Bombyx mori: one gene and its partners. The protein of the gene in region 4 binds, or shares a complex with, the protein of the main gene of each other region. Links are inferred from orthologs where the notes say so. Each region holds a gene or a part of one and is shown on either strand. Other genes may lie near its edges.

Region 1 (3,664 bases), on a different chromosome or scaffold from region 4:
GCTGTGGACCTGCCCACTCAAGGTAGGCCGCCGCCGCCTGCTCCGCACTTACCACTGCCTCCCCTCTCACGCCTCACTCACAACGCCGCAATAATAAAAACATTCAACTTCGCCGGACACGTCAGTCTGGTCAGTCCGAACTCCGAATGTTAATAAGTTAATTTAATAATTATTTATTACTACCATTAACAATGCAGTTATGTACTTTAACGGGTGGCGTATTGATTATCAAATCGGGGCAGTAAGTTTGAATTTTTTGTAAATTAATCTCTTTAATACCTTCCCTAATTTAGTTTGGATACCCCAACTACCAAGATTTTTACCACTGAAACTCAGAAGTTGAGTCTCAAATTTCGAACCCGAAAGCAATGTTCGTTGTTATATGAGTAAATTAGACACATTATGCTAATGAACTGACCTCTATCTGTTGTTGAGGAAACAAACATTACTTTTTATCAGTAACGTGACATTAACTTGAAAATAAACTTTATAAAATACTATTTGTTTTCATATAATTTATTCAAAACAACAAAATGACATTTTTTTCATAATATTTACTAAAATTATATTGGTTTTCGTCAATCTTTTCTTTACGTGTTTGTAATATCCATAGTAGCATTTCCACTTCGTTATCACTATTCCGCTTACAATAAGGTATAGAATCGCTTTTAACAACTTTAAATTTAGAATTACAATATCAATAATGATTTACTATTTCACGTACTTTTCCATAAATTTCTTATGGAACTCTGATCTTAATGAGTCATTTATAAAAGTATTAGGTTTCTTTTCCGGTTCAGAACGAGCGCAATTTTTGAAAACAACGTCATCATCCCATCTTCTTTTTACCTGGAACAACCCAAAAAAAATATAGATATAATATTACGATTGTCCTTTTTTTTTATTTGCATAAATGGGTGTACGAGCTCACAGCCCACCTGGTGTTAAGTTGTTATTGCAGCCCATAGACATCTACGACGTAAATGCGCCACCCACCTTGAGATATAAGTTCTCAGGTCTCAAGTATAGTTACAACGGCTGCCCCGCCCTTCAAACCGGAATGCATTACTGCTTCACGGCAGAAATAGGCTAGGGGATGGTACCTACCCGCGCGTACTCACAAGAGATCCTACCACAAGTCGTTACGCAAATTAAAATTTGCAGGTTTGATTTTTATTACACGATGTTATTCCTTCACCGTGGAAGTCAATCGAGAATATTTATTGAGTACGTATTTCATTAGAAAAATTGGTACCCGCCTGGGATTCGAACACCGGTGCATCGCTCAACATGAATGCACCGAATGAGTTATCCTTTAGGCCACGACGACTTCTTAAATTCTTCTTAATCGACCCTCATAGATGAAGGTTGTGACTCTCATAACTCAGTCAGTCTCTCTCTAATGATATCATGTAGAGGCCTAATGACGAGTTGTGCTGAGTGGTGCCTCTGGGCGTTCCAATACCGGATTCATCCAATGCTTGAGCAGATTATGTTAATGTTCTTAAAATCACTTTCAATTACTTTTGCATTTTTGTATGGTATTTATTAGTGGGTGTACAAAATCACAGTCCCTGTGGTGTCAAAACAGCAACCAGTGTTTATAGAACCGAAAATGTAAAATAATGAATCAACCAAAGTCTAAATGAAATTATTTAATAGTCTTGAATCCTCAATATCTGCCGCTACATATGCATAATGAAAGGAAAAATAATTTTTTTGTGCATTATTAAAGTATTCCCTGTGGAGTATCAATGATATTGATTCAAATACAAGTAAACCGAAAACAATAGCAACAATACGTTTTAATAGTTATTTTTATAGCATAGATAGGTGAACAAACTTATGGCCAACCTGGTATAAAAGGGTTATCTGGTAGTTGTCAGTATACTTCACCAATGAGATATCAAAACAGATACTGATTGAATATTATTTGCACATGTTTCAATACACATCATATTATTATCATATGGCAAGGATATCTAAAATACCAATACACAACAAAAGCTCTGAATAATTATAATCTAAGTGAGACCCAAGTTTATAACCACTTAACACCAAAAAGACAATGCTAGACATACTTGGAAGAATGAAAAATAATATCTTGAAACAGATTTGAAAAGTACCATAGTGTACCAGAACAGAAACATACAACACATACATAAACATACAAACACATAAATATGCCATAAAAAAAGTAAAACACAGATAGTATTGTTACTATGGAATAACAAAATAACAAAAACAAAACACCAGCAAAACAACAAATGCCAATTAAAAGATGCATTTAAATTATTTATCAAGATAATCCTGGTCAATGTGTAATTTAATAATGTAGTATCATGAAACTGACTAGCCAGAATGAAGAACTTGTACTACAACAAATGAATACCTACCCACTGCAGAAACTAAAGGTCATCTACACTTTTTTTATTCCTTTGATGGGTGAATTAAGTTCATGGCCCATAGAAATCGACATCTTAAATGTTGTCACCCACTATGAGACATGAGTTCTAAATATCAGATTTTATACCAAACGAAAACACATTACTACCCCATTCTACTGCCATTCATTAAGCAAATTATAATTTTGGTGGGTTCGATCTTTATTAAACACTATTTGTTCATGATGGAAATCATTTGTCAATTTACGTTAAGTATATATTTCATTACCATTGGTACCTGTCTGCAGGATGAGAGCACCGGCACAGTCACATAGCTTTATACAAATGCACCGGGAGTCTTTATCTTTTAGGGCACAATTACTTCAACATTGATAAATACAACATCAATGACATCTGCAGTTCAGTTCAATCACCAAACAGTTATCAGGAGTTAAAACAAAATTCATTTTAATGTTTTTAATTACCTTCATGTCATTCTTCTGTCCTGCAGCGGAGTAGTTGAGTAAAGGATTACCCGATAATATGTTCTCCATTCTAATTCTTTCCTCTTCTTGTTTCTTTTCAGCTTCCTATAAGGTAAAACAAAATTGATTTGTGCAACAAGGTTTATTTGTTATTTGAATTTTATTTAGTTTGGGTATCAAAATACACTAAAGTACACTAAAGTTAGACAAATTAAAAAAAATATATATTGTAAAATTTAATTTAAACATACTTTGTGTACATCAGTACAAAAATAGTCTTATAGTATAGTATCTAACTCTAGTATCTAAGATATATCTTACTTTTTTAGCTTGTTCAATGGCCCTTTCCTTCTTAATTCTGTTTAATTCTGCTAGCAATGCAGCAGTATCATCATCTGAATCATCAGAGTCAGTGGAATCGCCTTCAAGAGGATCATCAGCATCAAGACTTGCTGCAGGAACTTGATCAACCTTAGTTCTTTTTGCTTGTGGTTCACTTGTACGTTTTGTAGTCGTAGTTTTAACATCTTTTTCTCTATCATCCAACTCCTTACGAAAATCACGAGAGCGTAATTCCTCAGATGTCCCTTGACCTGATTCCCTATTAAAATAGATTTTAATATTTGACTTTTTCTTTACATTTTGGTGCATTACAAACGTGGTATTTATGCTTTGAACGAGTTATACATTGTGGTTTTGAAGGGTAGCGTATTTTCTAAAACAATAATTCAAGTACTCTACCTTGTCTCAAGATGGCTTTTTATGAGGTCCGTTAAGCACTTACCACCACGCGGG
Region 2 (4,003 bases), on a different chromosome or scaffold from region 4:
TGGTGGCCAGACATTAATTTGACACAGCGTTCTGTTGGTGCAAACGGTCTAACGTCCCAAATACGGAGTGTATTATCCATTGAATTGGACAGGAGATATGCACCATCCCATGACAATGATAATCCTGGAAACGAGTATTGCAACACAAGTTAGACATTGCCAGTCATTAAATGTATCAAACTCATATGATTTCTATTCACATATTTATTGCCGCACCTGGGTAGATGACTTCACGATCTACAAGTAAACTAAACAAGTAGTCTTAGTCATGAATTATTACTACTTATAAGGCTAGAGACATTCTAATAATAGCTGTTACATTTCTCTAAAATTACCTAATACCAGTTTGGGCTACCGAAGGCAGAATGGGTGAAGAAGTTTACAATACACCCGTCAACAAGTAACAACAGGGATTATAAAGAGAAATACATATGTATGCAACTACTACTACTGTACTGCATACCAATCAATCCATTCTCATTTCCTCATAAGATCAATATTTGTTAAATACATTGTATGGTAATCAGTATTTTAGTAGTTAACTAATAGACTGAAGTCATTACTGTCATCATATTGCCCTCACTCCACTCTAGATAAACTGTATCAATATTTTAATTTAATTTCTGGTTGCAGTATTATCACCTAATAAAAATCTAATTAATCAGAATCAATAAAGAATTACCAACCTGTAACCGTGTCTGTATGTCCTTTTATTTTCAAGGAAATCTGATTATTCCTTATATCCCACATTTTGATGACATTGTCCACACCGCTGGATAAAATTTTTTCAGCTGTATCATTGAAGAGTACACTTGTGACTGGATATGAACTGTCAAACGATGCAACTGGATTCCTTTTCCTTGCATCCCATAATTTTATGGTGTTATCATCTGAAGCTGAAACTAAGAGTTCTGGACCTCTTCTTGCTCCTGGATATAGAGATAACACGAGAAAGTTAGAATAGATTGTTACGTTGTCTAAACCAATTTTTTAATGGATGCCATGAATGAATTTACAGTTCTATTGTATCCACAGGCATTGAGATTTTAGATTGATGTTATCTGGTTTCAAACCATGGTTACGGATTATAGTTTCAATTTTAGGTCAATCCCACTTTATTTGGATCCAATCACTTTAAGGCTCTGAGAGTGCAAAGTAATGTTTAATTAAGTTACTGTTGTGTATTTGTACTACTAAAAAGCACTAGCATGAAAACCATTGTGTGTCAAAACTCAAACTATGAAACATACCTGAAACAGAGTTCACAAAGTTAGCGTGACCCTTTAACTTCTTGATTCTAGTCCCGGTGGGTACGTCCCATACTGCTACAGTATTGTCCGTAGCTCCAGTGTACAAATGTGAACCATCAGGTGAGAAGCAAAGCTGCATTATTGCTCCCGTGTGACCTTTCATCACCATCACATTCTCGCATTGACCATACACATTCCATATTACTGTGAAAATAAGAAATCAAAAATCATAATATTACTAAGTTGGACTTGTACAGCTTATAAGTTGTCAACATGACCCTGACATTGGTGGAAATTTTCAATGGTATAAACATTTATTTTGTATTTTTTTATATTAATGGTGGCTTAAGCTAAACAGTTTATATCAGCTATCATTTTGAGTATTGTATCATATTGTTCCCTACATTATAGGGCTCGTGTCACTAAAACCCCAGTACAGTGTGGCCCATGCCTGGGATATTGGTACTGGCAGTCATTCTTAATAATGCATATTAAATCAAACTGAAATGGATTTGGACTTCAGAGAAAATTTAAGACGCTGTAATATAATGTCTATGGTCTCCAATAATCACTTATACACTAGGTCAGATTTTACCTTGTTCACTCTTTTCAATTAAATTTAAAACCTACCTACTGTAATCTTATAATTTGTGTTATCAAATGTGTCAATTCTTCATTAACGTTTTGATAGTAGTATATTATTAGAGTGTGAATTTTAGAAACACTTTGCCAATTCAAAAGCTTTGTCATGATTTTGTTACTTACATATTTGTCTGTCAAAGCCTGCAGAAGCCAAATGTTTGCCTTCAGGATGAAATTTGCCTGTGAAAATTTCTCCTTGGTGTCCTTCCAACAACATAATTGGCGCATACAAGTTTGATGTTCGTGGAACCTAGAACGACAAGAATATAAAATACAAAACACAGGAATCTTGGAATCTTGTTGATCACTACAAATGTTGAAAAATAAATCTTAAAGTAAAAGCCGACTAAAATTCGTATTACCTTAAATTTTAACAAATATCAATCATGATTACCTAAGTACAGATTGTGTTTTTCTAAAAGTTTATTTTAGATGTTATGTTCCATTTCTAATAATTATAATTATGATCTCTTGATGCTTTCACCGTGGCGTTAGAGTTCTTAGCTTTTATAGACCGTACTATTGAGAAAATAAGTAAACTTTATTGAAAACAATACTCACAGATGAAGTAACAACTGCCTTTTCTCTGGTGCCGACTACTGAGATCTCATGCCGTACTCGCTTGGAGGGTACAAGAGACACATCCTCTGCTTTTCTTTTAGTTTCTATATCTGGCATTTTTTAAGATGTTTATTTACCTATTTGTTTTTATAGCTACAAACAGAAATACTAACCTTAAAAATGGTATAAGGACTGTTTAGCTTGTTTCATTTGTCAATTGTATAGGCAAAAGGAAAATAGCCAATATCGCCAAATTCTTTGTAACAAAAGACAAAGCTACCTTCTAAAAAGTTTTTTTTTTGTATACCTATTCAGATGAGAAGATGAGATAATGAGTCATTCAAAATGAAGAACTTAAAGTGTTTACTAGAGCCCATAGTCATCTACAATGTAAATGCCGCCATGCACCTTGAGATTTGAATTCTAATGTCCCAGTTTTTAAAGTACAATGGTTTTTTTTCGGGCCCGGGGCCGATCCTTCTAAGAGGTCCCCGCGCCTAAGAGGGCGTGAGATATGTGGAACTTTACGATCTGCAGGTTTTGGGAGCAGACCGCGGGCCCAAGGAGTTTTAGGGCCCTACCGCACTAAACGACTCCCTTGCACATTTACACCCAACGTCCGATCTCCGTCCGGGCTCAGAATCCGGACAATGTAGGGGGGGTTCCCGCGGTCAACACTATAACCAGACACGCGGCGCCCCTCCGAGGACCCCTGACCGACGGGTCGTCGAGACGGTAGTCGATGACCAATGACGCTGGTCTCCGCGGTACGGTGGCCCTACCTGGCCGCCCGGGCGATGCCGCTGGTGTTCTGGGATACTCTGCTTGGCCAAAACCAGCCTGATGGGTCAGAACGCGATACACCTCCGACCGCGTTGCTCTTCCACAGTATGTTCGGCGACGATAGTGACGACGACAATGCGGACCGCATTGCAGGCCGTAGTCGCTGACGTGTTGTCCCGTCCTCCTTGTGCCAGCGCGCTAGAGTGATGGTAGGTAGCGTGCGGCGCAGCCTCAACCCCCTCAGGTGAGGGAGTTGGCCCGGGGGAGGCCCCGTGACCATCACCGGGAGGAGACTGCCTCCTCAAAAATTCAATGGTTGTCCCAGCCTTCGAAATGAAACGTATTACTGCTTTATGGCAGAAATAGGCAGGGTGGTGCTACCTATCCGTGCAAACTCACAAGACGTCCTACCATCAGTAATTATGCAAATTATAATTTTGCGGGCTTTGTTCTTACTACACGATGTTATTCCTTTACCGTGGAAGTCAGTTTAGTTGATATGTACGTATTTCATTAGAAAAATTGGCACTTGCCTGCGCAATTCGAACATCGTTACATCGCTACATACGAATGCACCAAACGTCATATCCTTTAGGTCACGACGGCTATAAATCATTTGTTTAAGTTACAATTTTTTCACGTGTAGCCCCGATCGCTTTGTTTGTGTAATGAACTTTTAAAAGAGACGAGAACGCATTTTTTTTTTTTTATTGCTTAGATTGGTGGACGAGCTCACAGCCCACCTGATGTTAAGTGGTTACCGGAGC
Region 3 (4,017 bases), on a different chromosome or scaffold from region 4:
TCTTATTCATCAAGATGACATTCCACCGCTCCGCTGGCCACTTGGAGTTATACAAGAGGTGTATCCAGGTGCCGATAACATTATACGCGTTGCTTTGGTAAAAACGAAATCTGGATTTCTTAAACGTCCAGTTGTAAAATTATATCCGCTACCGCTAGAATAAATTAGAGTACCGCATGTCATCAACCGCTTCAACTCTACTCGTAAACATTCATGATGGCTTATTATTAATTAAAATTTGTTTCTTTTCAAATAACTTCCCGCTATTTAAGCTTTATGCTTCCTATCTTAGTATCTTTATATATTTGTTGAAAGTCCTGCGAACTTTCAAGGCGGGCAGGATGGTCACGCGGATTTAGTAATGGGATGCTAATGAATTATTGGGATGGCGCCACCTTTGGAGTTTGTCAGTAACTAATTACCGCGACTACCCAAAGCGTGGTTCTACCCGATCGATCACGCTTTACCGCTAGCTGCCTAGATGGCGGCACTTGTATATTGTGTGGTGCTTGAGCTTACGAAAAGCTACGTGAGCTTCGTCACCCCCTCCCGCCGCCCGCGTGCTTCCATCGCCGACGCCCGCACGACAGTCACTGGCAAGATCTACAGGTGAGTGCAAGTTCTTTTAATTTATTGCCATTTTATTGCTGCTTCGTGTAATCATTCGCCCGCCCGCTCGCTTATGTGTATTTAATTTATATCTTTAGTTTGATTACTAGCTTTTGTTTACCGCTATATAGTTTTACCGCTCCGCTAATTATAAGTGACAAACATTTGTCACATACCGCTTAGGACGGCTATTTACACGCCTTTCTACAACCCCGCTTTATATGCTCCCGCCGCAGGAGGGCTATTTACACGCCCCCTTGCTACCCCAAGCATAAAGCCTAAGCACCTAGCTTTTTTTACAAATGAAACTAGGTCTATTAGGCTATGTACAGTGAAATGTAATTTATTTAGAAAAATGGTTGGAATTAACTAAGATTACATTTAACTTTTTGCAAAATCTCAATAGTTATACCCTGCGATGCTCTTGCATTTTCAAACCGAAAGGTAGTACTACTTTACGGCAGGAATAGGTAGGGTAGTGTTGTCTGCCTCTGTGGACTCGCAGACATCCTACCATTCCTACCACCAGTAAAGTTGATTTTCACAATGCTAAGGGAATTAAAAATCATAATGGATTTTTGGTAATATGGGTTATGTTGTCTTTGTCTGTCAATGAATGAATAAAAATGTCTATTGTCTATGCACGGAACTCGCCGCCATATTACATTAGATGTCTATGGATTTGAAGCGTCTAATTTTTTTGAAATATTCTTTCCCATTTTTATCGTAAATAATCTAAGAAATAATACTGAATTATTGTCCTTTATCGTACGTTTTTCTTAACTAAAACGTAAACATGTCTATCGGTGTGCCTATTAAAGTACTTCACGAGGCGGAAGGTCATGTAGTGACTTGTGAAACAAATACCGGTGAAGTTTATAGAGGGAAATTAATTGAAGCTGAGGATAATATGAATTGCCAAATGACTCTCGTAACAGTCACATACAGAGATGGCCGAGTTGCACAGCTCGAGAATGTGTACATCCGTGGTTCCAAGATCAGATTTTTAATATTACCGGACATGTTGAAGAACGCGCCAATGTTCAAAAGACAAGGGAATAAACCTACTGCAGGACGAGGGAAGAGTGCGATACTGCGAGCCCAAGGTATTGAACAATATAAAAATAGTGTGTATGTGATTTGTTTATCGAGCTAGGTATCCTAAATGTTCTCTCGCATCACATACGTAGTGATTGTGTTCATTATCAACAAGACAACATACGAGTGTTAATATATGAATGAGTGCTGTCTGACTTGCAGTCTAATTACATCTAGCACTGAAATTGTGAATATGCATTGTTCTTAATTTCGTTTAATTCAAAGACTTAAAAAAGAATAAACATCTTTAGCTTAGAACAACCCATTTCTTTAGGCTTGTTATAAATTAGACTTGAGTGAAGTCTATTTAACAATTACTGCACTATATAACCAAATTATTAAACGAAAATTTCTAAGTAGAAAACGTATGCAAGTATGAAAGATAAGCACATTTAATTACAATCAATAAATAGCCTTCATTAAAATTAGTACAAATGCATTGAATACATAGTGATCAATTGGGTCAAATGAGCAAAAAATAGGTAGTTTGAAGCTTTGATTTTTTAAATGTCTTGTTTGTTTATATCCTGTATAGATATTTTTTGTCACAGTTTTTTAATAGTAATTGAGAATATTTTACAATTTTTCATTCTTGAGTGCTTATATAGACATACAATGTCAAATTTGCAATTTTAAGTTTTGTAATATCAAATCAGTATTTTGTTCCAATGTTAATTGTTTCTAATCATTCAACTATATGTTATTGACAATTTTACTTTGGGTGGTTAAAGAAAATATGTGAATGATGAGACCATGTCAAGTACCTAATGCACACAATCTCACACATCTAAAGTAAAACCTATTTTACATAATGTTATGCAAACTAATAACTGTATCTATTACATTTGTGAAAACCCATTCTTGTGTATTTAAATAATTACGGCAAATTTCTGTTGCTAAACAGGAATGTGAATTGATTTGACGGGCTGGACAGTAACTACAATACATTTGAGCGATCAAATATATGTATCTCTTCATACTCATCTCAAGTATCATGCCAACCAGCATCCTTATTTTGATGTTTGTGGGCCACAGTAAATCATTAATCAAGTGGGTTGTAAGCTTACTCACACATCTAGAGGAATCAAGAAGTAAAATACAAATCTTTGAAATTTTCAGCTGCTGGTCGAGGACGAGCAGGTGGAAGAGGTGGGGGCCACCGTGGAGGCTGGCAAGGTGGGTCAGGACCATCTCGACGCTAGCGTTAAGATATTTTTTAGATAGCTTAAGTTGTACTTGTCTTATATTTCAATTGTCAAGGAATTATTTCATTATCATTCTTATATATTGATATATCTAAGTGAGAAAAATACAAATTTTGGAAATAGAACAACTGTTTGTTCAAAGATTATTATTATGTTCTCAAATGTAACAATAAGGTCCTGTTCCAGATTTTCTGTTTTTTTATTTTGGTCACCCTTCAATCTGCTTTACACATCTTAGGTCTCATGGACCATTTGATCAAATAGACACTACACACTGATGCTACCCTATGGTGACTTATTGTGACTCCCAATCAATACAATGTTTAATCTCTATGTTCTATCCTTATATCAGTCCCAATAATCTAGAAATCTTGTCCATATGATGGGTAATAGTTCAATCTTGTTTTGGCTTGAGGAAATATCTATGTGTGGTTTATGCGGGGGTGACTATTGTAATTAAATATAAAAAGTTATTATAAACTGCCTTGTACAAACCAAACTTAACCAATGGCCGAGTTTTGACAATGTTTTATCCATATAATTTTGAATTTTTTTGCACTGTAACTGGAGCCTATAGACTTTATGAAGGCCTGCACCTACCATGAGGTTTGAGATCAAAGTCCCAGTTGTACTGTTTGGGATAAATGCTGTCTTAATGGGCAAATTGGAATGCTTCGCAGCATAAAACCTGCAACAATCATGCATGTTTGTTAAATGTGTGTAACTCGGCATCTTATCCTTTAGGACACGACAACCTCTTATGCAAAATATTTTTAATTTGAATGTTTTATGTTCGAATTTAGATTAGTTACAAACAGTGTAACAAGTTTACTGAGACTGTCAGCAGATATGTGATAGGATGTGTCGTTGTGGGTGTGAATATCAAAAGATTGAAAACAAATAAAAAACAATTTGGATAATAACTAGTGTTTTTATTTATGAGACACGCAGTGTCAACTAACTATAATTATTATTAGTCAAATTCCACTGGCCACTACTGCTTCTGAGATAGTATAATAATAGAAGTCATGACGGCTTCACTGTACAGACGCACAGGACAGTGGTGTCTAACCATACAAGCTCACACTGCACATCAGCACCTCAG
Region 4 (3,500 bases):
CTTCAATCGCTCGCCAACTCTAGCAACGTGCTCCGACTTCGCCTTGGCAATTACCTTCTTGTAGGACCTGGAAGCGGCGTTATATTTCCGCCTTTCCCCTGAGATGTTAGGATCCCGACGTCTCCTGGCATTATCCCATGCCACGTATGCGGACCGCTTGAGGTGTGCAGCATCCCTGCTGGCATTGTTATACCAGGGTCTGCTGCGACCCCCAACGGGCACTTCAGAGGAGGGAATAAACAATTCCATCCCCTGGAGCACCACGTCTTTAAGTCGGTCCGCACAGACGTCAGGATCAGCAGAGGAAAAGCAGAACCGCTCCCATGGGTAGGATGCGTAAAATTCACGCAATCCATCCCAATCTGCTGACATATACCGCCAAACTCTTCGATACCCGGTCGTCGTTCGACGATCAGGACGAGAGAGTGGTACGGCAGCACGAATAAGGCAGTGATCAGACGATCCAAGTGGAGCGTCGACCACCACACTGTATCCGGCCGGATCTGTGGTCAGCAGAAGGTCCAACAAAGAAGGCTCGTGCCCCTCGATATCTGGGACACGGGTGGGCTGTGTCACCAGCTGGGAGAAGCCGTAGGCCAAGGCGAAATCGTAGGCAGTCCGACCCGGGAGGTCAGTGGTTCTGGACCCCAACCACTCTTGGTGGTGAACGTTAAAGTCTCCAAGAACCACCACCTCCGCAGATGGGTACTGCTCAAGCACGCGGTTAGTCCCCTCTTGCACATGCTCAAACAGAGCTGAACCTGCATCACTGCTGTGGGACCTGTACAGGCACGCGTAGATTCGGCTACGGCCCCCGTGATCTACGCGCAGCCACAAGAGGGACAGGTCCCGTTGTTCGAGGCCCCGAAGACGGCGACAACAGACATCAGCCCGGACGAATACGCATACCCCGGCTTTACGCAGGAAGTTGTGCTCCAATACGTAGCCGGGATACTCAAGGTATGAGGTATCATCCGGAGCAGATATCTGCGTCTCCGTTAAAAAAAGCAGGGCAGGCTGCGCCGTCTCAAGGTGGTGGTGTACGGCGTCAAGGTTGCTATGTAGGCCCCTGACATTGCTGAAATCCACATTAAATGTGGAATGGGGAACCGCCTGTGAAACCCTTTTCTTTTTTTTTGGCGACTTCATAGTTGTAAAATTTTCGGAGAGTAGGATTAGGAGAGGTAGGATGTTGGAGGTGAGATCGAGGCAACACCTGAATGAAGCGCGGAACATAGTACGTGCTCGACCACGGATTGCGTGAGAGACTGACGCAGGGCATGGAAGGGCCCCCAGTCCACTCTGCGTGCGATCGCCGGGATCCACTCCGGTCTCCGACTCCGGCACGACGACCGCACGACAGGATTTTACACCGGTTGGCGGGACAGCTTCCCGGGGCGGAGTTTAGTAGAGACACCCGGGTTCAGGTCCCCTACTGACCGGCGGGCGGCAGCGGGTACCGTTTCACTGGGTCTCCCTATACCCCCGTCAAACAATCACGCCCCGCGAGTTCGCACGCACGTCTGCTCCGCAAGTTCCAGGCGTCACCAAGACTCACCCCCAACAAGGAAGGGGAAAAGGAAGGGATAGAACTGGCTCTCCAACCCACACGCCGGAACACAGCTAGGCTATTTGGCGGCGGACTCTAGTTGGAGGGTGGTCGCCAGCCAGTCGGACTAGGTCCTACCACCGGTTATGTTTTCGGCTCCCGTTTAGCACCACCCAGGGGTCACTTGTAGGGAATCGCGGGTTAAACCTACGGAAGCGGGAAGCACCAACCCCCACCTTACCCCAACTTACCCTTATGTCTCAGAGTAAGTGGTGGCATTCACGTTCTGATGTCTACGAACTCTGGTATACGTTTTATTAACCCATTTATACAGTTAATAAATAGTGAAATCTCATTAAACGAAAACGTGATTCGCGACAATCATTTTATGATATTGCTTGCAGTGGGTCGCTAAAAAGTTTTACTGTATACCCCCATCCTTGTTACGAGTAGTTTTCACCTTAAGCTTTTAATAATGGCAAGGAATAGACACTAGTAGAATTATTTTGTCCGTGCAGTTTGGGTTATAAAACATAGCCCGGCTAGGGCGGTGAGCATGTAGCGCGGCGCAACGCCATTATCGATAAAAGCAAATGAGTCATCGAAGGCAGGTACACGGCGGCGGGGTGGTATACGAAGGGTGGTGAGACATGGTTATGTTAAGAGTCATTTGTACTTACCTGAAAATTATAGTACATTATGTCGAAGAGAAATGTGTTTTTTATGCATTCGTTCTCGGAATTTCTTGAATGACACAATGGCTACTCCTTTGTTTTGTATCAAAACGGCAGAATTTATTCAAAATAATATATGAACGTGTTGTTATCAACAATGTGTTAAAGATTTTCACTGAAATAAGAATAGATCCCGAAAAGTTACAAAGTGTTAATTTCTGCCGTGTTCGTTAACTTGCTGCTCGGATATGTGGTGTAAGTGTTCGATTAGTGATTTTTTCTTTCATTTTTGTCACTAACCCACAAAATGACAAAACTAAATACACTATCGATAACGCTTATAGACAACAATAATGCGCATCACTATGCCCGTCCATAAGGCTCGTGAGTGGAAGAGAGAGCGAAATATTCGCTTCACCGCTCCGACTTTTTATGACCCAAACTGCACGGACAAAATAATTATACTATAGGATGTATACAACAACTAGTGGTTTGATGTCTGACATAAAATAATTTTTTTCGTTAATAAACATTCCCCATTTACATTCAGCCTTGCAACTGTTGTGTGATTCTACTCAATTAATGTTAAAATAATAATAATTTTAGCTCCAAGTGTAGCAGAGAACGGTAAGTCACCAGAAAAGAATGAAGAAGAGGTTAAAGAAGAACCAGTTCAGAATAATTCTCCAACTGTCAATGAACCTGTCAATGATGAAAACAAGGAACCAACCATAACACAGAACGTTGAAGAGAAATCTGAAGTTGAAGGTCAGAAATCTAGATCTGTGTCACCTGCTAAGTAAGTTTACCTGTCAAAAATTTCATATACTATAATCATACATTAATATCAAAACTCAACACAAATATGGTGTCAGTTCATACTATTATTGCTTATTTATGCTGCAAACATTCTCGCTTATTTGATAGAAGCATAGAGTGGCCATCAATAATGAAGAAATTGAGATTACATACTTATTTTTGTTGCACTAGCTAGCTGGCTAGACTTGATGCATTTACTGTTAACTCTGATGGTTACTCACCTAATATTGCATGGAAATGAGCAACGCCAGGGGTAAAATAAAAAATCTTTGCCGCTTAACTTCTTTCGATCATAATTTGATGTATATGTCATAAGCACCCGGGAAACTCTGAAGGGGAGCTCATTCCAGACTAAGATGGGGCATGGGGAAAATAATCTGAGGTGGATAATGAGCTTGTTAATCTAAGCTACAAAAAACGTATCTACCGTAGGCTACATAGATACTAGATCCGTTTTA
Region 5 (3,970 bases), on a different chromosome or scaffold from region 4:
AAAAATATTTTGTCCAAATGCACAGATTGCCACCTTTGATAATAGACGACTCATATACACATATGTTTAAGTAATATCACCTTCACACTACACCTACCAAGGTTCATCTCTGCACCCCCCTAAGGTAGACTGTTAGAGAATGCCTATGGCATTAAGTCCTTTATACCGTTTAGTATATAAAGTTATAAATAAATAAATAAACATATATTCAGAATTATTCAGATTATTTAGAACATAGATAGGACAGATGACAACTTGTAACAATCATTATAATTTGTCATCATTCATGAGTGTTAGAATTATTCTCATTTCATTTTTGAAACCGATTTCTTGGATTCAAGTCTTGATTATCTGTAGTACCGCTAATTGTGGGTGTTCATAGGTTGGCATTACAATCCTATCTGTTTATTCCTCGAAGCAATCACACTTTACCATCCGTGAGGAAATTTCCAGTATCTTTATTATTATCTTAAAATAGTCCAAGGCATATAAAGCATTGCTTTACAAATACACTATATTTTTTCTTTTAGAACTTATTTAGGTAATGTTTCTTATGAACTAGGATAACATAACAATAAACTAAGTTGAGCTCTGTCTGTAATTCTTAGTGTCTAGAATCTTCTTTCCACACATGGCACATATACCCTTTTTGTATGCACAAGCTTGGCAGTAATGTGATCCGACCTGGTGTACTTTCGTTCTGCAGATTCTGAAAAATAAAAGAATATATTTTAAAAACTTTTAATACATTTTACTGGAGGTATGGTTAGACCTAATAGACGCCTTTGAAATGTGGAGCTGGAGAAAAACGTTACAGATTCCATGGAATGCCTTTCTCACCAACGTGACTATTCTGAGAGAGCTTAATATCATAACTAGTCTTTCCAATATATGCCTTCGTTGGGTGCTGGAATTCTTCGGACATATTGCCCGTAAAGAGGGTCACAATCTAGAACAGCTGATGCTGACAGGAAAGGAAGATGGCAAACGTCCAAGAGGATGCAGTACCACGAGATGGTCGGACTAAATACAATCTTCTCTGAACATCAACTTCCACAATGTCCTTCATGAAGCTAAGGATCGCAGCAGATGGAGGGAAATCGTACGGAAGAAACTGATGCAGCGGGGGAGTTCAGTAATGAGGAAAACGACACGAGGAGGTGGAGGTGGTATGGTGTAATGTACTGAAATAGGTTCCACAAACCTAGTTATTGCAACCATAAATTTGTCCCATTTTCAAAGGAGAGCCATTTTTAAATTCGAATAAATCTTCAACTGCATCTCTTCATATAAAAACAACGTACACATTACAATCATCTATGGCCCTATTAATCTACCCATGTAGTGTACTAAATAAATCACTCAAGAGAAGAAGGGATAATGAATATAAAAAACATCCTTCAAACAAGTAACAACTAACTTTTATTGTATTGTTATTTTACATATTGGTAACTAAAAGTCCAGCAGTATTTAGTGTGTTTGTCTGAAGCGTTCGGGATTAGGAAGTATTATTATGAATATATGAGGCAAAATTGGGGAAGTATTATTAAGAATGTATGAGTTAAAATTGGAGAAGTATTATTAAGAATGTATGAGTTAAAATTGGGGAAGTATTATTAAGAATGTATGAGGTAAAATTGGGGAAGTATTATTAAGAATGTATGAGGCAAAATTGGGGAAGTATTATTAAGAATGTATGAGGCAAAATTGGGGAAGTACTATTAAGAATGTATGAGTTAAAATTGGAGAAGTATTATTAAGAATGTATGAGTTAAAATTGGGGAAGTATTATTAAGAATGTATGAGGTAAAATTGGGGAAGTATTATTAAGAATGTATGAGGCAAAATTGGGGAAGTATTATTAAGAATGTATGAGGCAAAATTGGGGAAGTATTATTAAGAATGTATGAGGCAAAATTGGGGAAGTACTATTAAGAATGTATGAGTTAAAATTGGAGAAGTATTATTAAGAATGTATGAGTTAAAATTGGGGAAGTATTATTAAGAATGTATGAGGTAAAATTGGGGAAGTATTATTAAGAATGTATGAGGTAAAATTGGGGAAGTATTATTAAGAATGTATGAGGCAAAATTGGGGAAGTACTATTAAGAATGTATGAGTTAAAATTGGAGAAGTATTATTAAGAATGTATGAGTTAAAATTGGGGAAGTATTATTAAGAATGTATGAGTTAAAATTGGGGAAGTATTATTAAGAATGTATGAGGTAAAATTGGGGAAGTATTATTAAGAATGTATGAGGCAAAATTGGTTTTTAAACATCAGGATTACTCACTTGCACTGTTGAAATGTGGAAGTGTACGGATTAAATCGTCCTTTTTTGGCGGTTAATGCTTTGTTTTCTCCAACAACACGTCCGCCGGACTCCACGGTATTCCTAGCTCCAGCCTTCCAAGGGTCCGGCGTTATTACTCTGCCCAATTTCTTTTCGCACTTCTCACAAACCATTTTTGTTCTGTTTCTTACTAACCTAACGAGCTTGTATTAGTACGAAATTTTATTAAATTGTTGTTTTGACTGAATAATATGTAGGTTATATTAATTAAATATTACTTATCAAATATTAAAATATGCTCTGCTAGTGAACAGCTAGTTTTATTAAGAAATCATAGTTAATACACTTAATATTTGTTAGAAATAAAATTTATTTAAGTTGATGTTGTTACTAATAGTTTTCTTTTGAATTGTCATTTGGATAGGCAACAGGAATGAAGCCCATACAGTCAAAACTTGTACCGAAGTGCGGTTCCGTGTCTGTGGTATTAAAAGTGGAACTAAAACAATACATAATACAAATTGAATTGGTTCTGGAATTAAATTGAATAAAGAAAATGAAATTCAATGAATTAATATAAAAGACGGTCAGGACTTAGATGAGATGAAAATACCTTGCAATCAAATGGGTGGACAGTTGGTTTACTAAGACGGACTTATTCTTCCTATTTTCCACGGACTTTTTGGAAGGGCCCGTTATGCCACGGCCTATTTTTCACTAAGACTACGGTTAATATTTCAATGTACTTTTACGAATTCTAATCGATTAATATGTAAATTTTAAGCCTGAAGAGACATTAAATTAAAAAGTAACAGCTTGAGTGCCCGCCAAATAGTCCTTAATGTTTCGTGCTGTATTTTCTTCAAATTAAATAGTGTAACGTCGGTCTCATGCAAACAAGAACTGCTTGGCAGTCCAAATAGGTTCGAAGCCAACTCGTGCCACTTATAAATCGCATAGTCCTACACGACTTCTGTGCGCACCCTGACCCTTAAGTACTTTGTATATTGTTTTAGAAACCGTCAAGACAAAATCGAGATCATGGGGCTTAAGTTGAAGAAAAAAACAAAATAATCACGTTTTCCCTGTAGATAAAAAAAACATCAAATAAAACATCATATCCAATTGCAATATAAGTATTGAGCGATTTATTAACTCGTTTCTCGATAAACATTTCAATAGATTTTATTATTCAACACATTCAACTTTCATAGTTTATTTATCCGACGCCGAAAGCTAATCTATATTAGTGGCACGTTACTCTATCAAAAGCGTTGTAACGGAATGTTGCAAGAAATAAAAACATACGAATTGCTAACTCTGATGTTCCTCCGCCATTTTCGTTGGAGCATCACTTGGATTTGTGTCATTTGACTCTGGGTAATATTGTTCTTGTGGAGCCTCCGCTGTGTTCTCATAGCTTTGTTCGTAATTCTGCTCGGGTTGGTAGTTGACTTCGGCTATGTTGTTGTATTGTTCTTCGCTATATTGCGCGTTGGGGTCAGCATATTGCTGATATTGTTCATAATTTTCATATTGTTCGTTTGCGTAAGTCGGCTCCTCGTAATTATTTTGGTATTCAGGTTGGTATTGCATTTCTGTTGCTTCGTAATTTTGTTCCTGTCCAATGAAATTCGCATCCTCTTGATAAGTCTGTTCTTTATGCTCTACGTCC
Region 6 (4,081 bases), on a different chromosome or scaffold from region 4:
CCACGAAGTGTGCGATTTCAATACTGTTAAATGGATACCTGTAGTTCTCACATTTGCGCGTGGAGCCTTTTTTATGGAGAGGAATTAACATTGATTCCGTCCAGTCTTCAGGCCACTGGCCAGTACGCCATATTTTCTGGCAAATGGAGTGTAAAATCTTGGTACCATCCGAGCCTAGGCTCTTTAACATTAGAGCGGTTACGCTGTCCCTCCCGCATTCTCCCTCAGGCAACATTGGAGGAAGCTGGTGCAAAAACTGGACCAAGGTGGTCACGATCCTCAGTAATGAGGAAACGACAAAGAAGAAGAAGAAGAAGAAGAAATGGATACCTTATCATCTGCTTGTCCGTGCAACTCTTCATTGATCTTCTGAGCCTTCTCAAAGATGGCTTGGGCATCTCTATCCTTTTCTGTGTCTAATTCATAGGTAGCTGTTGCATTCTCTCTCTGTTGTTGAACCGATAGTGTTGTCCTTTGAGAAGTCTGAAAGAATTGTAAGCTTATGTTGATCTAAATGGATCTTAAAACGGTTTTTTTTTATGTTCAATACAGAAGACAAGACTTCAACATAAAGATGACGTGTAAAAAGATTAAAGAGATAAAAAGATGTGTGCCAGATTTAAGTAAAGATAAACTGCTCTAATTGTTGATAATATTGATTTCAGTGGAGATATAACTGAGACACTAACAAATATCTCAAGATGCATGGCGGCATTTACTTTGTAGATGTCTATGGGCTCCTGTAACCACTTAAGAACTTAAGGAATAAAAAAAGACAACCCGAAAGGCTGAAATGGCAGCAAGCAGGCTGTTGGAACCAAAAGTTCTCAAGTGGCTATTATATATCTAAATATGTATGAAGTATGTGAAGATTTGAAGTGTGGGTAGGCCTTCTACAAGATGGACCAACAGCCTGTTTATGATATCTTATATCTGGTGCTTCAAAGGTGCAGATCTCATTATAGATCAGATTATCAAATCTGATGATATCCAAGTGAGTTGATGATGATGATGAGCTGTTAATGTTACTATACCTTTTCTTCATCATTACTATCATCATTATCTTCAATTACATCAATTTTGGATTTCTTCGGACCTCCTGTAGACTGTATGTTTGGATTTGGTTTGTTCACCCTTTTCGTTGGTAGAACTACTTGTTGCTCATCAGAGTCCGAGCTGTTTTTCTCTGAAACGTTACTATATTAAATTATATATTAAGCAGCCGTCTGGTGTAGTGGTAAGTGACATGGTCACTACACAAGGGGGTCGCAGGTTCGAATCCCGCCAAGGGAAGATATTTGTATGATAAATATAAATGTCTTTCCAGGGTTATGGGTGTATATTAAATATATATATATATATATATATATATGTGTATAATAAAAATATTATATTTATTTCCGTTATCTGGTACTTGTAACACAAGTTCTTTACGAACTTAGCACGGGACCAGTTAACGTGGAGTGATTGTTAGTAAATATTTATATTTATAAAAAAAAAAAATATCAAGTATATATGAGGCTGTCAGCGCAAAAGTGGCCTAACCCACAATTTTTCATGCTTATAATCATGTATATTGCAATTTATTTAATATATAATAAATTTTTATGCAAAACCGGCCTATCCATAGTTTCACCCATAGAAAGCAGATGGCTTTGTAATCATTATTTTAGCGCATATTGTTTTTTTTGCCAACTCAAATTCAAATTCATGAAAACTAAAGCCTCATTGCTCCATAATAACTATAGTACGCTTAGGCTGCTTTTGCGCTGACGGCCTCATATGATAAAATATATATCGACACTTGAAAGGCAAACGTGACTAAGCGACAATGCGTGAACTTTACGGTAGACTAATTTAAAGTTGAAATACATGAAAACAAAATTTATTTTAACGAATCCAGTTGTAGTAGAAACTAGCTAGTAGCTGTAGGATTGAAATAATTTTAATAGACCTAGAAATATATATTTTTTGCGGATCGAATATGGTTATTGCCTATCATTTATGTGCAAAGCAGTTATTGTCGCTTAGTCACTTTTGCCTTTCAAGCGTCGATATATTTTTTTTATAATGGTAATCTGCCGATAGTTTCTGCCAGCAATTTCTGCCAGTGTCGTGTTATGGCTACATATGGAACATTGTCGAGCTATTTAAACACACTTTATATTATAAAAAGTATCCAATTTTGGCTATATTAATGGTGCCTGGGACTAACACAAAATTAATGTTACTACAAACTTACATATTATAATAAAGATTATGTACAGAGAATAATGCGCTACATATAATTATAATTTTATAGTTAGTAGTTATACACTTAATAAAAGCACTTATAATACGGGGGTCTGGGAACAGTGAGAAAGAGGATATGAAGAAGCGATGAGATAGTTTTAATGTACTATTCTTAGATGTCTTTCGTTTGGAGAATAATTTAATAACTTAACGATCAATATTACCTTCTGAACTGGAAGTTTTACGTTTTCTGCCACCCCTATTCTTAATATTACGTTTTTTAAAAGTACTGAGTACTTCCACTTCGGCGTCTGACATTTTGAACGATTGTTTATTCAACCTAGTGTGTGCTTACTACGATATTAGAGTAATATCTACATAATCATTAATGAGGACACAATAATACTAAATAAAAGTACTGTATTTCACTTTAGGACCTTCAAGTATTGTCGGTATTTATAGGGTTTTTAATTAATTTTTGCATTTCACAACATGATAATATTGGCAATGATCAAAATAATGCTCATTTTTAACATTGACATGTGATTGATTTTGACGGATAGTTGTTTTTTTAAACTATGATTTGTCTATTGAATGGAGGGAATACTGCCCATACAACATAGCTTAAACATTTATAGCAATGCCTGAAGTTAAATCAAAACTTAAATTAGCATATGGAATAATAAGGTTAAATAAGAGAAAGCCGTACATGTTGTATAAGATGAAATAAAATAGCCTGTCAGTAAATTAGCGGAGACTTATTGAGGCTTCTAGGCAATTTGGAAGGGACCCGAGCAGCCACACAGCCACATTGAGGAATTCTTTTTTTTTTCACACTTAAGCCCTTTCTACTACTACTGTTAAAAGTTGAAACCAGAGTTAAAACTCAAACATTGTAATGGACATAATAAACACTATTCTTATCACGATGTTCATGTCTCTTTTATAGTAATAATAAATAGATAAATTAATAAAGTCATTAGCTGCCTTGAAATAAAGTGGAAGTGGAATCATAATTTACCATACAAACTGGAAATATTGAATGCTAAAAGGTTTAGGGTGTAATTTTTTTTTTATTGCTTAGATGGATGGACGAGCTCACAGCGCACCTGATGTTCAGTGGTTACTGGAGCCCATAGACATCTACAACGTAAATGCGCCACCCATCTTGAGATATAAGTTCTAAGGTCTCAGTATAGTTACAACGGCTACCCCACGCTTCGAACCGAAACGCATTACTGCTTCACGGCGGAAATAGGCAGGGTGGTGGTATCTGCCCTTGCGGACTCACGAGAGGTTCTACCACCAGTGATTACGCAAATTATAATTTTGTGGGTTTGATTTTTAATACACGATGTTATTCCTTCCCCGTGGAAGACAATCGTGAACATTTGTTGAGTACGTATTTCATTAGAAAAATTGGTACCCGCCTGCGGGATTCGAACACCGGTGCATCGCTCAACACGAATGCACCGGACGATTTATCCTTTAGGGCACGACGACTTGATATTTTAAGGAATGCACAAAAAACTCAGTCTAGTTTTATCGATCCTTGTATTAAAACGTCACAGGTTACAGCGCTCACTGATTGCTTGTCACTTGTCAGGCTTAATATTGCCGTATTCTGCAACGCGGCCCCGTTTTGTATTTCTTAGATGACCGTTATGAGAAGTGCACATTTATGAAACACAATAAAAGAATGACATCGTGTAATAAAATGCAAACTGTAAAAATAATAATTGTGTATAGGTATTGTGTGCTCGCATAGATAAATTATTTTGTATACACCATTAATGGCTGCCACAAAAAACATTTAAGAATGATCACTAATTATGTAGTATGATAAGAG
Region 7 (3,500 bases), on a different chromosome or scaffold from region 4:
GCTGTGAGCTCGTCCACATATTTAAGCAATAAAAAAAAAAATTAAAAAAAACAGCTATGAAAAATAAGCTACAGCATTGAGAAAATTAATTTAAAAACAACTCTGGTAGTTTGTGTGTGTCAGCGTTGGTAAGAGGGATTGGATTTATACTGAAGCAATACTGTAATTCATCGTTTCCCAAAGTGTGCGATAACGCCCCCTCGTGGGCGCTGTAGTAGTTTTTCTCGCTTTAGTAGTTTTTAAAGTAGGTGAAAAAATAGGGGCGCTATAAAATAATTTATTCTCAAAGAGGACAGTGGACAAAAAAAAGTTTGGTAGCCACTGCTGTAATTATAAAGTTTGTTGATATTTTTATTAAATCATCGTTGATCACTAATGCTTATCTAGGATTTAAGTGATTATCTTACTGAGATCTCATGGTCTACTGCACAGGAAAAATAGGCAGGACATTGCTATCTACTCATAGGAGATTACAGCAAACCAATGTCCCAATGCCTTCATCATCAAAAACAATAGTAGACATGTCCCGACTTCAACATATTGAGACTGTTCTTCACCCATATAAAAACATCAGGCACGGTAACCATTATAAACCCTTTTCCTAATTCAATCACAACTGTTCATATTAAGCCCATGGGAACTCACGGATTCGTCTCTGCTTGGAGCATCCTTCTCAAACTGCACCGGTCCAGAGCGGGTGTTGGAGCTGCTGGTGCCGGCGAACTCTTTGTCCGCCACGAATCTGTCAACAAACATGACATCTCATATCATATGCCACTGACACTACACAATGTCCATCTCAAACATCTATGTAATACAACAGATTTGCCAGTTTTAATTTTTTTATTGGATTATCGGTCTATCCGGTGTTATATCAATAAAAAAAATTTAATAAAAATCACGCCACGTTAACTGGTCCCGTGCTAAGTTCGTAAAGAGCTTGTGCTACAGGTACCAGATAACGGAAATAAATGTAAGATTTTTATTATACACGTACATATATTTAATATACATCCATAACCCTGGAAAAGACATTTATATTTATCATACAAATATCTTCCCTTGGCGGGATTCGAACCCGCGACCGCCTTGTGTAGTGACCATGTCACTTACCACTACACCAAACGGCCGTTAAATATCAATAGACATTGGAATGCACAATGTTTCACTGCAGAACTGGGTAAGATTGTATGCAGCTGCCTTGTCTATAGACAAGGCATCCTAAAATCAGTCCCATTCGCGGGGAGAGCAGGAATCATTTGAAAATAATAATGGAGAAGGCACTGCTATCAAGACATACATGGTTGTCTGAGTACTAAAAATATAGAGTAATAAAGTAGGAGTAATAAAAAAACCATCCTAACTGAAATGATAAGATTGTTTTAGCTTTTTAAATAAATATTTTAAACGCAGTCTGATTTTATATTTCATTTAAATTAGTTTTTTTCCTACGTTTTTGATTATTATTATATTTTAATCTCACAACTGAGACAAATAACACTTCGCATTTTAGAATCCGTTCAGGGCCGGATTTAGGTGAGAGCAACCGGGGCCCCCACAATAGACTTTGGAAAAAAAATCTTTCCAATTCCGACAAGTAAACACTAGTAAATCTTTTCTTCTCCTTCGACATTGCTTTTTTCGTTGTTTTACTTGACGTTAACACTAAAATTTTGGGGCTAGGGAGGCCTCCGCTCCTCCTAAGCCCTGAGGCCTCCAGAACTCTAAATCCGACCCAAAATCCGTAAAAAGGCTTGTGGCGCATGCCAACCAAGCACATATACCCACACATATTCAGTGCACACAATTTTCGGGAATATTAAATTAAGAGTTTCCCTGCGGTCAGGGTCACCTGCGCGTGTTGGCGACGGCCTCGAGGTCCCCGTAGGAGTCCCGGTCGGCGTGCCGGCTGGGCCTGTAGATGTGCGCCCCGACGTTGTCCTGGTTCCGCCACGGCTTGTCGTACACGTTGTACGCGTCGTCCTCTCCGTAACCTTGTTTAAATAAATTTAAGGTTGAATTTCGTGTGGCAAAAAGTATACCCGTTACTATGTTTTTTTTTCATGTTCACCAGGTGAGCCGTGAGAACGTTCACTAGTTCATAAGTAATAAATAAAAAAACATGCGTATTTGATATGACTTTTTTTGTCCCAGATGAGTAGGAGTGGTCCAACTAGATGCCGACCATCGACCTTGAGACATGAGGTCGATGTCTCAATAGCATTGCGTCTGTCCTAACCTTTAAACAGGCATGCATGACTGCTTTACTGATTCCACCGTCCACGTTACGATCACCCATCTAAGCAATATAAAAAGAAGAAAAAAAAAGGGTTGTGTTGAGATGATGGTTAATAGAGGAGAATGGAATAGAATAAAAATTTTTTTATTGCTCTTGTAGGCAGACGAGCATACGGCCCACCTGATGGTGAGTGGTTACCGTCGCCCATGGAGGTCAGCAATGCCAGGGGCAGAGCCAAGCCGCTGCCTACCGAACATTCGCTACGCCGACCCCACCTGGGGGGATGTGGTGGAGACAAAGAAGAAGACAAACTGTGAGGCCTCTAGCCTTACCGCTGTCAATTCCCTTGCTGTTGTTGAAGAGTCGCTGGTCGAACATGGCCTCGCCGCCCTGGTTGGTCTTGGCCGGCAGCCCCAGCGCGATCTGCTCCGAGATGTCGCGTTCCCGCTCTTTCGCGAATTTGGACCTGGAATTAACGATATATAATAGTTTAAAAAAAAAACTAACAAAATACGCGTTTATAGAAAATCCAACCAAAAAAATAGAAAATAAATTTTAATAAATTTCAATTAAAAATAGAGTAAGAAAAAAATATTTTATTATAAAAAAAAAGAATCTTAAGATTTTTTTAAATTATGCATAAAATATACATTAAATGAATAAAAAAATATGACACCACCATACCATGTATTTGACACACACAGGCATGCATACTATTTGTTTATTGTCAAACTTTTATTGCTTATAATCTGTGGTCAAATTGAGAACAGATTAAATATTGTTTGTATTTATTAATATTTGTCTATAGTGTAGTCTTGGCGAAATCTGTGATTATAGTATAATAAATAGTCTTTGATAATAGAACCTTAATAATATTCAAACTTAAATTAATTATAGTCGAATTTCGACTACTGCGGGACCACTAGTTCCTATAACGAGACAAGCTGTCCCGATCTACAATACTAAATCAATCTCAATTACTCATATACGAGAACTATGAAGAAAAACACACTCACCTTTTGTCCGGTGCTGCTCGAGCCATGTTTCTTTCGCGTTGCCTCTCTTTGTGCCTCTCAGCCCTCAGCTTGTCCCTCTCCGCCACACTGAGACCGCTCTCATCTATCTCGGGCTGTTCCACATCCTCTTCTGGTGCCCGAATACCTAATTAATATATAGGTAATATTATGTTCCAAGGATTCTTGTAATTGCTTATCAACTTTTAAATAGTCTTACCATCATCACTAGATATTATGTGATGATT

The links.
Region 1: serine/arginine repetitive matrix protein 1 (region 4) and protein CWC15 homolog share a complex: the UniProt entries of both Homo sapiens proteins name them as parts of the minor spliceosome. The link is inferred for Bombyx mori from reciprocal best matches to the Homo sapiens genes SRRM1 and CWC15.
Region 2: serine/arginine repetitive matrix protein 1 (region 4) and U5 small nuclear ribonucleoprotein 40 kDa protein share a complex: the UniProt entries of both Homo sapiens proteins name them as parts of the minor spliceosome. The link is inferred for Bombyx mori from reciprocal best matches to the Homo sapiens genes SRRM1 and SNRNP40.
Region 3: serine/arginine repetitive matrix protein 1 (region 4) and small nuclear ribonucleoprotein Sm D3 share a complex: the UniProt entries of both Homo sapiens proteins name them as parts of the minor spliceosome. The link is inferred for Bombyx mori from reciprocal best matches to the Homo sapiens genes SRRM1 and SNRPD3.
Region 5: serine/arginine repetitive matrix protein 1 (region 4) and cysteine-rich PDZ-binding protein share a complex: the UniProt entries of both Homo sapiens proteins name them as parts of the minor spliceosome. The link is inferred for Bombyx mori from reciprocal best matches to the Homo sapiens genes SRRM1 and CRIPT.
Region 6: serine/arginine repetitive matrix protein 1 (region 4) and E3 ubiquitin-protein ligase RNF113A share a complex: the UniProt entries of both Homo sapiens proteins name them as parts of the minor spliceosome. The link is inferred for Bombyx mori from reciprocal best matches to the Homo sapiens genes SRRM1 and RNF113A.
Region 7: serine/arginine repetitive matrix protein 1 (region 4) and puff-specific protein Bx42 share a complex: the UniProt entries of both Homo sapiens proteins name them as parts of the minor spliceosome. The link is inferred for Bombyx mori from reciprocal best matches to the Homo sapiens genes SRRM1 and SNW1.

What each region holds. Positions count from the first base shown.
Region 1 is NC_085110.1:8,228,614-8,232,277, forward strand, and holds the end of protein CWC15 homolog, read right to left. Parts: intron 3,471-3,664; coding exon 3,191-3,470; intron 2,975-3,190; coding exon 2,870-2,974; intron 850-2,869; coding exon 712-849; 3' UTR 501-711; downstream 1-500. UniProt on the Homo sapiens protein: Involved in pre-mRNA splicing as component of the spliceosome. Component of the PRP19-CDC5L complex that forms an integral part of the spliceosome and is required for activating pre-mRNA splicing.
Region 2 is NC_085109.1:1,115,028-1,119,030, reverse strand, and holds the start of U5 small nuclear ribonucleoprotein 40 kDa protein, read right to left. Parts: upstream 2,801-4,003; 5' UTR 2,571-2,800; coding exon 2,454-2,570; intron 2,143-2,453; coding exon 2,016-2,142; intron 1,455-2,015; coding exon 1,251-1,454; intron 930-1,250; coding exon 687-929; exon of another isoform or gene 125-686; coding exon 1-124. UniProt on the Homo sapiens protein: Required for pre-mRNA splicing as component of the activated spliceosome. Component of the U5 small nuclear ribonucleoprotein (snRNP) complex and the U4/U6-U5 tri-snRNP complex, building blocks of the spliceosome.
Region 3 is NC_085122.1:328,611-332,627, reverse strand, and holds small nuclear ribonucleoprotein Sm D3, read left to right. Parts: upstream 1-1,217; 5' UTR 1,218-1,405; coding exon 1,406-1,715; intron 1,716-2,826; coding exon 2,827-2,909; 3' UTR 2,910-3,835; downstream 3,836-4,017. UniProt on the Homo sapiens protein: Plays a role in pre-mRNA splicing as a core component of the spliceosomal U1, U2, U4 and U5 small nuclear ribonucleoproteins (snRNPs), the building blocks of the spliceosome.
Region 4 is NC_085128.1:8,261,578-8,265,077, forward strand, and holds part of serine/arginine repetitive matrix protein 1, read left to right. Parts: intron 1-2,829; coding exon 2,830-3,022; intron 3,023-3,500. UniProt on the Homo sapiens protein: Part of pre- and post-splicing multiprotein mRNP complexes. As a component of the minor spliceosome, involved in the splicing of U12-type introns in pre-mRNAs. Involved in numerous pre-mRNA processing events.
Region 5 is NC_085130.1:5,681,330-5,685,299, forward strand, and holds cysteine-rich PDZ-binding protein, read right to left. Parts: upstream 2,731-3,970; 5' UTR 2,469-2,730; coding exon 2,296-2,468; intron 710-2,295; coding exon 580-709; 3' UTR 501-579; downstream 1-500. Other genes in the region: drebrin-like protein, read right to left, coding at 3,610-3,970. UniProt on the Homo sapiens protein: As a component of the minor spliceosome, involved in the splicing of U12-type introns in pre-mRNAs. Involved in the cytoskeletal anchoring of DLG4 in excitatory synapses.
Region 6 is NC_085108.1:7,585,938-7,590,018, reverse strand, and holds the start of E3 ubiquitin-protein ligase RNF113A, read right to left. Parts: upstream 2,801-4,081; 5' UTR 2,551-2,800; coding exon 2,457-2,550; intron 1,187-2,456; coding exon 1,035-1,186; intron 484-1,034; coding exon 331-483; intron 1-330. UniProt on the Homo sapiens protein: Required for pre-mRNA splicing as component of the spliceosome. As a component of the minor spliceosome, involved in the splicing of U12-type introns in pre-mRNAs. E3 ubiquitin-protein ligase that catalyzes the transfer of ubiquitin onto target proteins.
Region 7 is NC_085130.1:3,035,501-3,039,000, reverse strand, and holds part of puff-specific protein Bx42, read right to left. Parts: intron 3,401-3,500; coding exon 3,256-3,400; intron 2,706-3,255; coding exon 2,572-2,705; intron 1,995-2,571; coding exon 1,853-1,994; intron 743-1,852; coding exon 646-742; intron 1-645. UniProt on the Homo sapiens protein: Involved in pre-mRNA splicing as component of the spliceosome. As a component of the minor spliceosome, involved in the splicing of U12-type introns in pre-mRNAs.